Pelodiscus sinensis: one gene and its partner. The protein of the gene in region 2 interacts with the protein of the main gene of each other region in a biochemical or structural test. Links are inferred from orthologs where the notes say so. Each region holds a gene or a part of one and is shown on either strand. Other genes may lie near its edges.

Evidence for each region. The genes of interacting proteins can lie anywhere in the genome.
Region 1: the proteins of STUB1 (region 2) and UBE2W form a complex in vitro, tested with the Homo sapiens proteins (7 studies listed by BioGRID, with this or other methods). The link is inferred for Pelodiscus sinensis from reciprocal best matches to the Homo sapiens genes STUB1 and UBE2W.

What each region holds. Positions count from the first base shown.
Region 1 is NC_134712.1:53,656,849-53,663,925, reverse strand, and holds the start of UBE2W (ubiquitin-conjugating enzyme E2 W), read right to left. Parts: upstream 3,055-7,077; 5' UTR 2,459-3,054; coding exon of another isoform or gene 2,444-2,458; intron 2,377-2,443; exon of another isoform or gene 1,994-2,376; intron 1-1,993. UniProt on the Homo sapiens protein: Accepts ubiquitin from the E1 complex and catalyzes its covalent attachment to other proteins.
Region 2 is NC_134726.1:5,342,820-5,350,040, forward strand, and holds the start of STUB1 (E3 ubiquitin-protein ligase CHIP), read right to left. Parts: upstream 3,110-7,221; coding exon 2,891-3,109; intron 1-2,890. Other genes in the region: uncharacterized protein LOC102443902, read left to right, coding at 5,369-5,496, 5,728-5,821. UniProt on the Homo sapiens protein: E3 ubiquitin-protein ligase which targets misfolded chaperone substrates towards proteasomal degradation.

The DNA.
Region 1 (7,077 bases), on a different chromosome or scaffold from region 2:
AAAAATTGTATCGACTACACAATAATTCAATTACCCTCTTCTTAACATCCTTACTTCCCACTGCTATCTTGTCCAAGAAACAGACATTAGATAAAACATTATTAATACCGGATAGCTCTTAGATAGCACTTTTCTGTGAATCTTGAAGTGCTTCAGATAGGCAGCAGTCATCTCCCTTTACAGAGACAAACTGAGAAACAAATGTGAAATAAGCTGTACAAGAACACAACAAAGATCAGTGACAAACACAGGCCTCTCAAACCCCAGCTACCTGTAGTATTGTCTTAAAGTGTCACAACAGTCTCTTCCACACAGTTTTTATACACACCTACAAGAGTTTCTTTTAACAGAAACTTTGGGGAACATAATATTTTGTAGTCAAAACCAGGCTGCATAAAGAATTCTAAATATTAAATAAAGACCAAACAGCAGAAACAATGTGGCATGCAAGTCTTATAGAATACGACTATGTGATATGGTATGTCCTTAAGTGCTTTACCCAGCCTTTTTTAAAACGTCACGTAAACTGGACTTCCATTACTTTCTTGGGGGGGACTATTTCAGAATCTAATAAAATTTCATCCATAAAATTTTCTAGCTTAATTATAATTATTTTTGCATTTATTCATGTCATTCCTAGTTATAAACCCTAAAGATAAATATCAGTATAACACCACGTGTAATGTTCCAGTTTGTACACCTTCTCTGTTGTCTGAGTAGTGGTGTAGAAGCGCTATAGTTAAGGTTACTTCATGACACCTGTTTAAACATTAATGTTTCTACATCATCTAAAAACAAGGATCTCTCTGAAATGCTGTTTCTTTCTGGAGGTTGAAGAGTTAGTGACCCAAATTTGGAGTCATCTGAGTCAGGAGATCCAGAAATATAAGTCCCCTCCAAAAATAGCCATTTTAAAAAAAGTTTCTATGTGACGGTGTTTTGCCCAGTCGTGGAGAGCAAACTATTACAGCTGCTCCCCAGGATTACGAACAAGTTACGGACCAACACTTGGTCCGTAACTTGAAGTGTTCGTAACTCAGATCCCATAGTTACACGGTGACCGCGCTGTTCATAACTCAGATCCGCATTTACGACCGCTTTGGTCGTAAGTGCGGATGGTTGTAACTTGGGAAGCGGCTGTACTACGCTAGGGGTCAAAATGGTCTCAACTCAATTTTTATCCAAGATAGTGCATAGCATTCACTATAGAAACCCAATTTGAGAACAGTAGTTAAGAAAGTGTCTATTTTTACACTGTGCATATGCCAATACAGAAAAAACAGCTACATGATTTCCACTCCTGCCATTTGATATGCTATAAGGTTCTAAGTATGCTATACTCCAAATGACGAGGAGTCCTGTGGCACCTTATAGACTAACTGAAGTGTAGGAGCATTAACTGATGTGTAGGAGTGTAATGCTCCTACACTTCAGTTAGTCTATAAGGTGCCACAGGACTCCTCGTCGCTTTTGCAGATTCAGACTAACACGGCTACCCCTCTGATACTATACTCCAAATGGTTAATGATAATGCTTTGAAACGTGGTGTGCCTTGTAGGGGTACAGAGCAGCATTGGTGATCCAAATTTAGGATAATCTGACCAAGAGAGTCCCAAGAGACAGATCCTCCCTTATCCCCCACTCTCCCAAAAACCCCAAAAGCCAGTTTCCCTCTACTGTCTTTTACTGCTAAATCGGATGCATTACAGACCTCTAGAATGCTGTGATCTGATCCTTCAATGAACATACTTATGGATAAATGAATCACTATCCCTGTCCTTAGATAAAAGGACTTGTGGACTAAGTGGCGGGAGGTTACTACTATAGATGCGAATAGGGGAGGGTTGAATGTAATCCTGCGGCTGTCAAGGCTGTCTTTTTGTGCAACCCACCACCAACCTCAGGCAGCCATGCCCCCCTCCTATCTTCATAAACTCCCTTAGGAGCACTCTGGGAGTCTCTGTGCCCTACCCCGTACGATCCTTACACGCACCCAATGAAGAGGAAGAGCCCGGCTGACTCTACCACACCCGCCATTCCTTTCACACTTGAGGGAACTCGGCGGCGGTCGGGGACTCTTCTCCTTTCCCAGCTCCGCCGGGGAGTGTGTGAAGCGCCCCCGCCTCCTCCCACACACACCAAGGAGGGGGGGGCCCTACCCGAACTCGGCCCTTCCCGGGAGCGGGGTGTCTGCCACAGCTCGCTCACACGCCAGGCAGGGGCTTTATCGGGCCCTCGCGCTCCGGGGGGAGGTCCCGTCCCAGAGTCCCCTTCCTGGGCGGCTCCCCAGCGCTGCCCACAGGCACCCCAGAGGCCAGAGCTTCCGCGCCAACCGCCGCCCTCCCGGCTGTCCCGCACCCCGCCAGCGGCTCCTCCTGCCACCCCGGCAGCGCCGCTCTCCCCACTCCGGCCCGGCGCCCCGACTCCGCCGCCAGAGCCTCACCTGCATGGACGCCATGATGGATCCGCCCCCCTCCCCTCTGCGCCGCCGGTCCGGACCCGGAGAGAGCGAGAGAGAGAGACGCAGCGGCGTCCCGCCAGATCACGTGGGCCCCCCAAACCAACAGGGGCAGGGCGCATGCGCCGAGCGATCAGCGGTGGCGGCTGCGCTAGGTAGCGGCCTCGCCTGGCAGGGGCCCACAGGCCGGCCCGGCGAGGCCGGGATGGGAGGAGCCGCGCGTGGCAGGCCCGTCCGCTGGAGCGCGCCCGGGGCGGGGCTAGGGGCGGAGGGGCGCGACAGGCGCGGCTGGGCCACTGCGCGTGCGGAGCCTCGGGGGAGCCGGGGCTGCCCCCCGTCTCCTGTTCGGCACCCAGCGGCTCCAGGCGGGGGCTGGGCAGCATGGGCAGTTGCCAGTTGTGGGTGGACGGATTCCTGCAGCTTTCTTCCTGTGGCACAGTCTTCAGTTACAGCGGAATCGTTAGTCCCCGGAGCCACCAAGCCCAGCCTGGAGGGCTGGCAACCCTGGTGGGATTCCTGCATCGACCTGCCCCCCTCCCGTCCCCCGCCCCGTGCAGGGAAAGCTGCATTGAGGTCACATGAGAACTGTGTCACTGTCCATTATGCTGAAACGGGCTCTACTGCGCACGTGCACATGTTGATAAGTCAAATGCATGAATTGTAAGTTTGCGAAAGGCGGGTGGATTGCACTGGGGACAGCGTCCAGCGCAGCCCCGAGAGGAAGGCCGCGCCCACGGCCCAAACCCCTGAGCCACAGCGCAAGGGTGCTCGAGCTTGTGAGAAGAACAGCCTTTGCATTTTTGTTAAACGTGGTAAAACAGTGTCTGGCTTGTTTATGTTCTTGTAAATAGCTGGAATATTTCAGGCGGCTTCAGACATAGGGCAAATGGCATATAACTTCAGCCCAAATAGTTACATTTTGCTGAAGTTATATGCAACTCAAAACACGGTGAAATGTGGGGCAATCTTCATAATAGGAAGTGCTACCAGTCCTGTGTCTGATACTAGTTATTATGGCACTGTCCCCTCTTTGGGGTGCTCAGCCCTGGACAAAAATTAGCAGGTGCTCAGTATCTGCTGACAAGATCTCTCACCCTCCTATAGCCCCACTAACTAACTCCTCCCCCTCTCAGTGCATCTGACATACCACGAAACAGCTACCCCTCTGATACACGAAACAGCTGTTTCTCAGCATGCAGGAGGCTCTGGGAGGAAAGGAGCAGGGACTGGGTGTGTTTGGGAGGAGGAGGGGGAGCAGGCTTGGGGAAGAGATGGAGTGGGAACAGGGCCTGAGCTGGTGGTGGTACCATCCCCTGGTTAGAGGGGAAGTAGACACTTGTTGGTTGCAGATCAGGTCTAATATTTGTCTGGGTGAGTGTGTAAATGTATCTGCCAGATCACCTATGACATCCCATGATTTCCAGAGGCTTGTGTTACCACAAACAAATAATTGAGATAGTTTCTAGAATGATGCTGGGCATCTCATCCCCTTAGCAACACTAGAAAAAAATGCTGTCATCATCATCTAGTGGTCTTGTCCTTTGTGTTGCACATCATGTATATTCACATATTCACAGATTTTGAGTACACATGACCAGACATTTTATGAGCTATATGCTTTTTAAAAAAAAAAAAAAATCTTGTGTGTACTTGTGCACACCCCTCCCTTTTAATGGAACAAGTCTTTTATTTTTTAAACAAACAACTGTGCTGTTTAGGTTTGTCCATTTACTGATTGGAGCTAGTCTTATTACTGAAGTTGCCATCTGAATAGGTCAGCCAAGGTAATTGAGTCCATAGCTGACCAAGGTCTTCCCAAGGGATCCCACTAAATTGGCTGACTAGGCAGTATCTGGAATATGGCATGCAATTCTGGTCACTCCTTCTCAAAAAGGATATATTAGAATTGGGGAAAGTACAGAAAAGAGCAATGAGAACATCTAGGGGCATGGAACAGCTTCAATAAGGAGAGATTTATAAAAACGGGCTGTTCCTTTTAGAAACAAGAGCAGAATATGATAGAGAGCTATAAAATTCAGATAATATGGGGAAAGTGTTATTTACGTCTCACATAACACAAGAACTAAAGGTCACCCAATTAAAATAATAAGCAGCAGGTTGAAAACAAACAAAGTAGGTTCCTCCCAAATTCACGGTTCACTTTGATCAATTTCATGGACATGGGGGAAGGGAGGGTCTTAAAATTGGTCAATTTCACAATTTCAGACTTTTACATCTGAAATGTCATGGCATTGTAACTGTGGCACTGGATAATCCTACTCTAATGTTTATGTTAAAGCTTTAGCACCTTTTGAATTCTAAGGGAGTATGAATAATGAGTATTATGCATGATTTACTATTTATATATTTTCTGTTTTCCATTCTCCAATTTACTTCATTTGTGTGAAATACTGTAACCTAGATTACAGACATTTTAGTATAATGTCTTTTTCAGAATTGTTTATAAAGTGCCTAACACAGTGGAACCCTACTCTTGTACTGAGGCCTAAAGCACAACTGTAAAACAAACAACAGTAGAACACACTGGAAAGAACCCTGTTGGTCACAATAGAACTGAGTAATATAACAGTGAATAGTTGGTACAGAAAATTTCAGATCTCAATTTATTCATGAACAGGTTATGGAACTCTTTGTTCTAAAGTATTCCCTAATTTAGACAGTGAAAAATTCTCTGTTGGCATATGGTTCACAAATGGTTGCACAAATTCTAAATGTGCACTTCGGGCCAATGCTGAGGACTGTTAGAAGGCCCTGTTTATGGGCTGTGCAAGGAAAGGAGGGCTGTCTGCATGTCATGAGGGCAAGAGAGGAACAGTGGATCTTCATTTATGCCTATAGACTAGTAGAGTGATGCTCTGTGTAAAACTGTGCAAAAGGCAGCTGGAAGACCAGCCATTATATGTGGTATTTAGCAGCTGCTAACAATAACCAACACACTGAATTAAATTCATTCTATCTATATAAAGCTATAGTACTGGGTCTGACACTACATCAACAAAGTTAATAGTTTTACCATGGATTTCAACATTGCACAATCATGCTTTCAGAATCCAACTTAATTTTATACTTTAAATTCATGAACTTTGAATTTCATGTATTGTGTTGGTTTGCTTCATAAGTCATTTGATATTATTTCTGTTCACTCAGTTACATAAGATGTCCATTCACCACAATGCAAATCATGGCTGTTGCATTTGATTATACTATTTTAAACCTTAACAAATATTCAGGCATTCACAACATGATGGGGACTAATTTGGCTACAAGTACTCAAGAGAGCGATCTTGGAGTCACTGTAGATACTTCTCTAAAAACATCCACTGTGCAGTGGCAGTCAAAAAAGCAAATAGAATGTTAGGAGTCATTAAAAAAGGGATAGAGAATAGGACAGAAAATATCTTATTGCCTCTATATAAAACCATAGTACGCCCACATCTTGAATACTGTGTACAGATGTGGTTGCCTCATCTCAAAAGAGATATATTGGCATTGGAAAAGGTTCAGAAATGAGCAACAAAAATGATTACAAGTTTGGAACATGTCCCATATGAAGAGAGATTAAAAAGACTTGGACTTTTCAGCTTAGAAAAGAGGAGACTAAGAGGGGATATGATAGAGGTCTATAAAATAATGACTGGTATGTAAAGAGTGAATAAGGAAAAGTTATTTACTTATTCCCACAATATAAGAACTTGGGGTCAGCAAATGAAATTAATAGGCAGCAGGTTTAAAACAAACAAAAAAAGTTTTTCTTCACTCAGTGCATAGTCAAACTGTGGAACTCTTTGCTAGAGGATGTGGCAAAAGCTAGAACTTTAACAGGGTTAAAAAAAAAGTCTAGATAGATTCATGGATGTTAGGTCCATCAATGGCTAGTAGCCAGGATGGGTAGGAATGGTATCCCTAGCCTCTATTTCCCTGGAAGTGGGTGACAGGGGAGGGATCTCATGAGGATTACCTGTTGTGATCCCTCACTCTGGAGCATCTGGTATTGGCCACTGTCGGCAGACTGGGCTAGATGGACCTTTGGTCTGACCCAGTATGGCCATTCTTATATTCTTGATCATTACTGTTACAGCTTGAGGGACCAAATGGCTACAGAAAGCAAGCCCACAACATTACAAATGTAGTCAAATCAAAATTTGACTCTGAAGTCTAATGGTTATTTGTAAACTTTTCATTATTCATTCAGCTTGTCACATTTAACATGGTGATTTTCTCTCATGATGAGCATATTGTTTATTTTGACAGTTTGCAATATGTGGTGAAATACATAAACAGTAAATATACAAATAAACTGATACAAGTTTACTGAGTTAATTTGATTTGTGAATATTAAAATCTATGTTAGAATTATATTTATATTAGAATTTGACAGGAAATGCACTCACAAGCATCTTTGTTGGGTTGCATCCAGACCAGTGTTATTCCACCACTTTTTATCCCACATTATCTGAGTGTTTTTGCAAGAGAGTTAACTATTTTCTTAACTATTACTAGTGTCTTGAATATTTCATATACTAAACTGCATCTTACTGCCTGATTCTGTGCAAATTCTGCCACTCTGGTCACATTGCACATTGTTTTCTTTTGTCCTG
Region 2 (7,221 bases):
TGGCTTTCCTTCTGTGGGCCAGAGGAAAGATACACCTTTGAGAAGCTCCACAGACTCCTCATTATTCAGCAGACAAGGTGAGATAGGCCCACAAAGGACAGTTTTGCTCAGAAATCCTGCAACGTGTAATTGGGTGCAGGCCCAATCCTTGACCTGAATTATTTTAAACTGCATAACTATTTTGCTCATGAAAATTGGAACAGTGCATACTTCCCCCACACAGCTCTGCCAGTGCTGTAGAACCCTGACCTCTGTCACCTAGACCCTGGGCCTTCAAATACAAAATGCCAATGCACTTCTTGATGTGCTGCACCATGGACAGTTCCAATCCTTCCTCCTTGTTTTGCCAGTTCACCACATTCCTTGCCACATGAGCTCCTCGGTGTTCTAGCCCTGGACTTCCACTTATCCTGATAACGCACCACCGTCCTGACCTGCGGCGCCTGCTATTCTGGTCCTGGGTCTCTGGCTCAGCTCCACTGGCGAGTTGCAATCTTGACCTACCCCCTCCCCCAGTTATTCAAGTTTTGGATTTCTTCACTTCGCAGTGATTTGATGATGTGAACAAACATCCACAGGGGATTCTGAAGAGACCAACGCACATTTTCGCTTCTGACTCAAAACCTGAACCCAAGTTTTCAAGGTTCTAGACTACTTCTCAGACCACAGCTTGTTCAGTAAATGCATACAAGTGATGTTAATCAGCATATCCTTAGAGCTAAGTGATCACTCCTGGATTTCTAGAGCAATGAAGAGTCTTATGATGCATAATCTTGCCCAGTACATTTCCATTAGCTATTTTCTAAAGGTATGTTGTTTAAAAGTTCATCAACTAGGAATATTACATTGTGGTTACCAAGCTAATCAGAATTTGTATAGACTACACAATTAGTCTATAGGACTGCTCAGTCCCGGCTCGTGCTGAGTCCAGCAGCCCCTATTATCAAGATGGACCAGCTAACAAGCGTTAGTAGTTACCATGAACCAGCAGCCAGGTTGAGATACAAATATACACTTAAGAAGCAATACCACAATAGCCAACTACAAAAACCATGAATCCTACATTGAGACAGGCTAGATGGTGAAAGTCACCCAAATGAAGAGTGTATTACAGACAACACAGAGCAGAGATTTGTTTAGGATGTGTAAGTAAACATAGAATAGCCAGACTACACAAACTGGCTTTTGTAATGCTATCTTCCTAACGAAACAGAGGAAATACTTGACTCAGCTAAATACCAGGTGGGGCACAGAGACTATGCCAGACCTAGTAGAAAAGCATCCCAAACAGTAATCACTGAACATTAGCATGCCCTATGTGCAACTCAGTTCTGCAGAGCCAGAGAGAAAACAATCCCCATGGGAGAGCCATGTTAGAAGCAAAGAATTTTATTCCCAAAAGGACATACCCTTAGGAACCCAAATCCCCAAAAGCTATAGTCAGGAAAGTCCTAGATTATGGCTTTGCTGGTAAACCTGTAATCTGGACCACATCCCAAGTTTAAGTGCTGCCCTAGCCAGAGCTCACTAGCAGCGCAGTGCAGTATTATGTAGAATAAGTCCTTTGGATGACATTTTAAACTAAGATCCTCCCTGCCCATACCTAGTGGATATGGGAGTGGAAACCAAGGCTCTATTGACAAGTACTTCAGTTGTAAGGCTAAAGATCCCATATGGTGCTTTGTGGAGAGACTAGGAGATCACCAGTGTCCTGTGCAACCCCATTCAGCATCACATACACCTTCCAACGTCCCCAGCTGTTTGCTTTTGCTGCCAGTTTCGGTAAGAGATTGACAGGGTCTCTCTGACCCTCCCCACACTGAATGGCGAGTGGGCTGCTGACAGCAGTCTGGGCCCCCATCCAGAGGCTGCGTGTGCCGGAGTGGGAAACATTCTCCAGGCCACCTGTTCCCAGGAGACCCTGTCACCAACACAGCAAGGGGGGGGAGGGAGGAGGCCTGCGGGGAAGCAGGGACAGGAGCCTGGATCCTTCCAAAGCCGGGCGGGGGTGAGGAGGAGACAGAAGCGCTAAGGCAGGAACTGAGTCCTGCAGCACGGCCCATGCGGGGCGAACCCGCCCAGCCGCCGCCCCCGGAGGGGAACTGCCCCCCCAGACAGCTCAGCCCCCCCCAGCCCCACAGGCTCTCCCTTGCGGTGGGGGGCAGCCCTCCCCAGCAGCGCCGCCCAGCTCCGAGCTAGGCCTCAGCAGGGTCCTGTAGCCCCGCTCCGCCCGCCGGGCCGCAGACACCCCCCCCCTCCTCCCGACAGCCCCCCCGGCCCGCCCCCTCGCGACACCCCCCACCTCCTCCCGACAGCCCCCCCGGCCCGCCCCCTCGCGACACCCCCCACCTCCTCCCGACAGCCCCCCCGGCCCGCCCCCTCGCGACACCCCCCACCTCCTCCCGACAGCCCCCCCCGGCCCGCCCCCTCGCGACACCCCCCACCTCCTCCCGACAGCCCCCCCGGCCCGCCCCCTCGCGACACCCCCCACCTCCGCCCGACAGCCCCCCCGGCCCGCCCCCTCGCGACACCCCCCACCTCCTCCCGACAGCCCCCCCCGGCCCGCCCCCTCGCGACACCCCCCACCTCCGCCCGACAGCCCCCCCGGCCCGCCCCCTCGCGACACCCCCCACCTCCGCCCGACAGCCCCCCCGGCCCGCCCCCTCGCGACACCCCCCACCTCCGCCCGACAGCCCCCCCGGCCCGCCCCCTCGCGACACCCCCCACCTCCGCCCGACAGCCCCCCCGGCCTGCCCCCTCGCGACACCCCCACCTCCGCCCGACAGCCCCCCCGGCCCGCCCCCTCGCGACACCCCCCACCTCCGCCCGACAGCCCCCCCGGCCCGCCCCCTCCCGACACCCCCCCTCCCCCCGGCGGCCCCCCACTCACGATGGCGCGGCCGTAGCAGGCGGCCGCCTCGGGGTACTTGCGGCTGACGAAGAGCCGGTTGCCCTGCTCCTTGTGCTCCTGGGCGCTGTGGCTCTTCTCGGGGCTGCCCCCGCCCAGCCCGGCCGCCGCGCCCCCCCGGGGCCCCCCGCCCGGCCCCCCGCCGCCGGAGCCGCCGCCCAGCCCCGGGCCGCCGCTCTCCTTCTCCTCCTTCCCCTTCATGCCGCAGCGCTGCCGAGCGGGCCCGGCCGGATCCCAGCGGCCTCGCACTGCGACAGCCCGGCCGGCCCGCCTCCGCCCCGCCCGCAGCCCGCGGGACTTCCGGCGGGGCCGGGCCGGTGAGAGGGGGCGGGCGCTGGGAGGGTGAGAGCGGGGGGGGCTGAACGCGTCTGGGGGGCGAGGGGAGGGGGCGGGGCGAGAGTGGGGGGCTCGGAGGGGGAGGGAATGAGGGGGCAGGATGGAGGGGGAGGGAGCAGGGGGATGTCGTGAGGGCGGGGCTCGGAGGGGCAGGATGGAGGAGGAGGGAGCAGGGGATGTCGTGAGGGGGGGCTCGGAGGGGCAGGATGGAGGGGGAGGGAGCAGGGGGATGTCGTGAGGGCGGGGCTCGGAGGGGCAGGATGGAGGGGGAGGGAGCAGGGGGATGTCGTGAGGGGGGGCTCGGAGGGGCAGGATGGAGGGGGAGGGAGCAGGGGGATGTCGTGAGGGCGGGGCTCGGAGGGGCAGGATGGAGGGGGAGGGAGCAGGGGGATGTCGTGAGGGCGGGGCTCGGGGGGGCTCGGAGGGGCAGGATGGAGGGGGAGGGAGCAGGGGATGTCGTGAGGGCGGGGCTCGGAGGGGCAGGATGGAGGGGGAGGGAGCAGGGGGATGTCGTGAGGGCGGGGCTCGGGGGGGCTCGGAGGGGCAGGATGGAGGGGGAGGGAGCAGGGGGCTGTCGTGAGGGCGGGGCTCGGGGGGGCTCGGAGGGGCAGGATGGAGGGGGAGGGAGCAGGGGGATGTCGTGAGGGCGGGGCTCGGGGGGGCTCGGAGGGGCAGGATGGAGGAGGAGGGAGCAGGGGATGTCGTGAGGGGGGGCTCGGAGGGGCAGGATGGAGGGGGAGGGAGCAGGGGGATGTCGTGAGGGCGGGGCTCGGAGGGGCAGGATGGAGGGGGAGGGAGCAGGGGGATGTCGTGAGGGGGGGCTCGGAGGGGCAGGATGGAGGGGGAGGGAGCAGGGGGATGTCGTGAGGGCGGGGCTCGGAGGGGCAGGATGGAGGGGGAGGGAGCAGGGGGATGTCGTGAGGGGGGGCTCGGAGGGGCAGGATGGAGGGGGAGGGAGCAGGGGGATGTCGTGAGGGCGGGGCTCGGGGGGGCTCGGAGGGGCAGGATGGAGGGGGAGGGAGCAGGGGATGTCGTGAGGGCGGGGCTCGGAGGGGCAGGATGGAGGGGGAGGGAGCAGGGGGATGTCGTGAGGGCGGGGCTCGGGGGGGCTCGGAGGGGCAGGATGGAGGGGGAGGGAGCAGGGGGCTGTCGTGAGGGCGGGGCTCGGGGGGGCTCGGAGGGGCAGGATGGAGGGGGAGGGAGCAGGGGGATGTCGTGAGGGCGGGGCTCGGAGGGGCAGGATGGAGGGGGAGGGAGCAGGGGGATGTCGTGAGGGCGGGGCTCGGGGGGGCTCGGAGGGGCAGGATGGAGGGGGAGGGAGCAGGGGGCTGTCGTGAGGGCGGGGCTCGGGGGGGCTCGGAGGGGCAGGATGGAGGGGGAGGGAGCAGGGGGATGTCGTGAGGGCGGGGCTCGGGGGAGCTCGGAGGGGCAGGATGGAGGGGGAGGGAGCAGGGGATGTCGTGAGGGCGGGGCTCGGAGGGGCAGGATGGAGGGGGAGGGAGCAGGGGGATGTCGTGAGGGCGGGGCTCGAGGGGGCGAGAAAGGGGGACTAGCAGGGGCTGGGGAGATGGAGGGAGCCAGAAAGGGTCAGGGGGCTGGGGGTGAAGTGGAGGCAGGGAGATGAAGTAGGAGGCTGAGATGGGGGATCTGGGGGGGTGAGGGGGCTGGGTTATGGAAGGGTCACGGAGCTGACTGGAGGGAAATGGAGGGCAGGGACATGGAGTGGGGGTCTGGAAGGCAAAGGGAACTAGTGGACAGGAGCAGGCCCAGGGTGTTGCAGGGAAATAGAGACATGTGGGGTGGGGTTGTTTATATGGATCAAGGAAAGTTGCAAATTCCCTGGGTGCAGAGAGCCAGGCTTAGAGGCCATGCCTTAGGACCATAGGTGTGAAGAGGTGTAGAGGCCTGCTGAAGAGCAGGGTGGGTGAAGAGCTAGGAGTAGAGAGAGGAGAGAGAAAGCGGACAGGGCCAATAGAAAGTGAAAGAGGTGAAGAGGAAGGATTTGGGGTTTGCAGACACAAGAATCAGCATTTTCTTCCCGTAAGGTCTCTGCCCTGTATTTCTACAAGCATCAGTTTTGTTTATCTTTCTCTTGTAGATCTTTGTGTCCCAGAGCTCTGAAACATGCCACCAAGAGGAGGGTTGTATGATTGTGAAGACCCCATCTACTGGAGGACAGTATTTGGTGTCTACTGGGATGTACTCAAAGCCAAAGGAGGCAAGCAGAAAAAACTTGCCGAGTTGGATAAGTGGTAAATCTTCCAGCATTTAATATGGCTTCTTTTGTACTCTATGGTATGAGGAGGTGCACGGTTCAGTGTAAAATCCCTGCCAACCCAACTCCATTAGTAACAGCCGGGTCTTCCAGAGCATGAGCTTCCTCACAGCAGTGCTCTGTCAGTACCAGCTGCAACTCCAGCAGCATGAACATCTGGGTTCAAGAAAATATTTTGACTCTGTCTACCAACGGATTTTTGTTTCAGGTATCAGGAGGAGCTGCCAGTTGCTATTGCAGGGAGGAAAGAAAAATATCTGACACGGGCTGAAGTAGTGAAACTCATGGAATGGAAACTAGCAGTAAGTAGCTTTCCCAGGTGAATCATTGTATGTAACATTTCAGCCATACAATCAAAGTGTGTGTAGTGGCAGGGAGGGTCTAAGGCTACATTGCAGCTTAAATTGGCAGAAGTGATGTTGCTTGACTGTGTGAATTAAACATCCCCTTGAAAGACATAACGTATGCCAATTTAAGCACCGGCACGGTGTCAGTGAGAGAATTGCTACCAAGACTTGCAGGGACTGGAAAAATTAAACTCACGAGCCATAGAGCAACTACATTGGAGAGCTTACAGTAGTGCAGCTGCACCAGTGCCACTTTAAGCTCTATAGTGTAGTCATAGCCTCAGAGCCTTGAGGTCTGTAACATTTTCAATTACTGGTGGTTTTGAACTCTGATGATTATATTGATTTTTTTTTTAAACATATGTGGTAAGAGTCTGATGCTGTCAGCCTTAAGGCCTCTGTAGTTGGCATCTATTTAATTCTGCTGTTCCTATTTTAAAGGTGTTGCTGTTAAGGAAAAAAAAAATCCAGTCAAATCCTCTGCTCTTTCTGAACCATGCGTGATGTAAGACAGCGGGAGGGGCAATGGCATCTTTATTCTGCCTTTGTGACTCCTTAATTGAGGGGTTATTGTGGGCCCTGACAACTTATAGGAGCCTCAGGCTTGCTGTAATTGCAGTCAGCTACCCTCAGCCCTAAGGGATTGACCCAGTAGTCTGGGATCACAGAAGCATGTGACTTTTCTGCCACATGCAGTTGCTCAGGCTATGTCTTCTACACAGGATCTTACAGTGGAGAGGGTACAGTGACACTATGCCAGGTAGCAGCCTCCTCACCTTTTGAGTCTGGGGATTTGACCCCCCTTATTTAAAAGTTATACTGTTTGCCTCAGTAATAACATCTTAGAATATCAGAGCAGGAATATTTTTTAATCCGAGGTGTCCTGTTTGTTTAATTTTTACATTTCACACAGCTTGGTAATTTTCCTCTCACTAGCATAATAGAGCTGTGCGTGTGTTTCCACTAAAATAGAGGAACTATTATTTCAGTCAGATATATATGTAACATTAATACTGTACACAACTCTTTACAAACAAGGAGGCGGGCTCCCTGCTGCATAATACATTGCATGGGCTGTTGACTCACAGGAGGAGGGGTGGGGAGAAAAGTCCAAGGAAGGAGAGGAGCAGGAAGAAGGTAGGGGGCAAGGTGGAGGAGATGGTGGAAACTAAAGGAAGAGACTAGTGGTGTTGTAATGGAACAGAGGCTTGAAAGGGTGGTCAGAGGAGCACATGCTTAGGAATAGAAGAGGAAACCCCTGAAGCGATGGAAGGAGCTGGGAGCGATGTGCTCAGACTGTGGGTGAGGAAGTTGTAAATCCCACTCTCCAACAAAACCAAATGTTGCTGGAAATT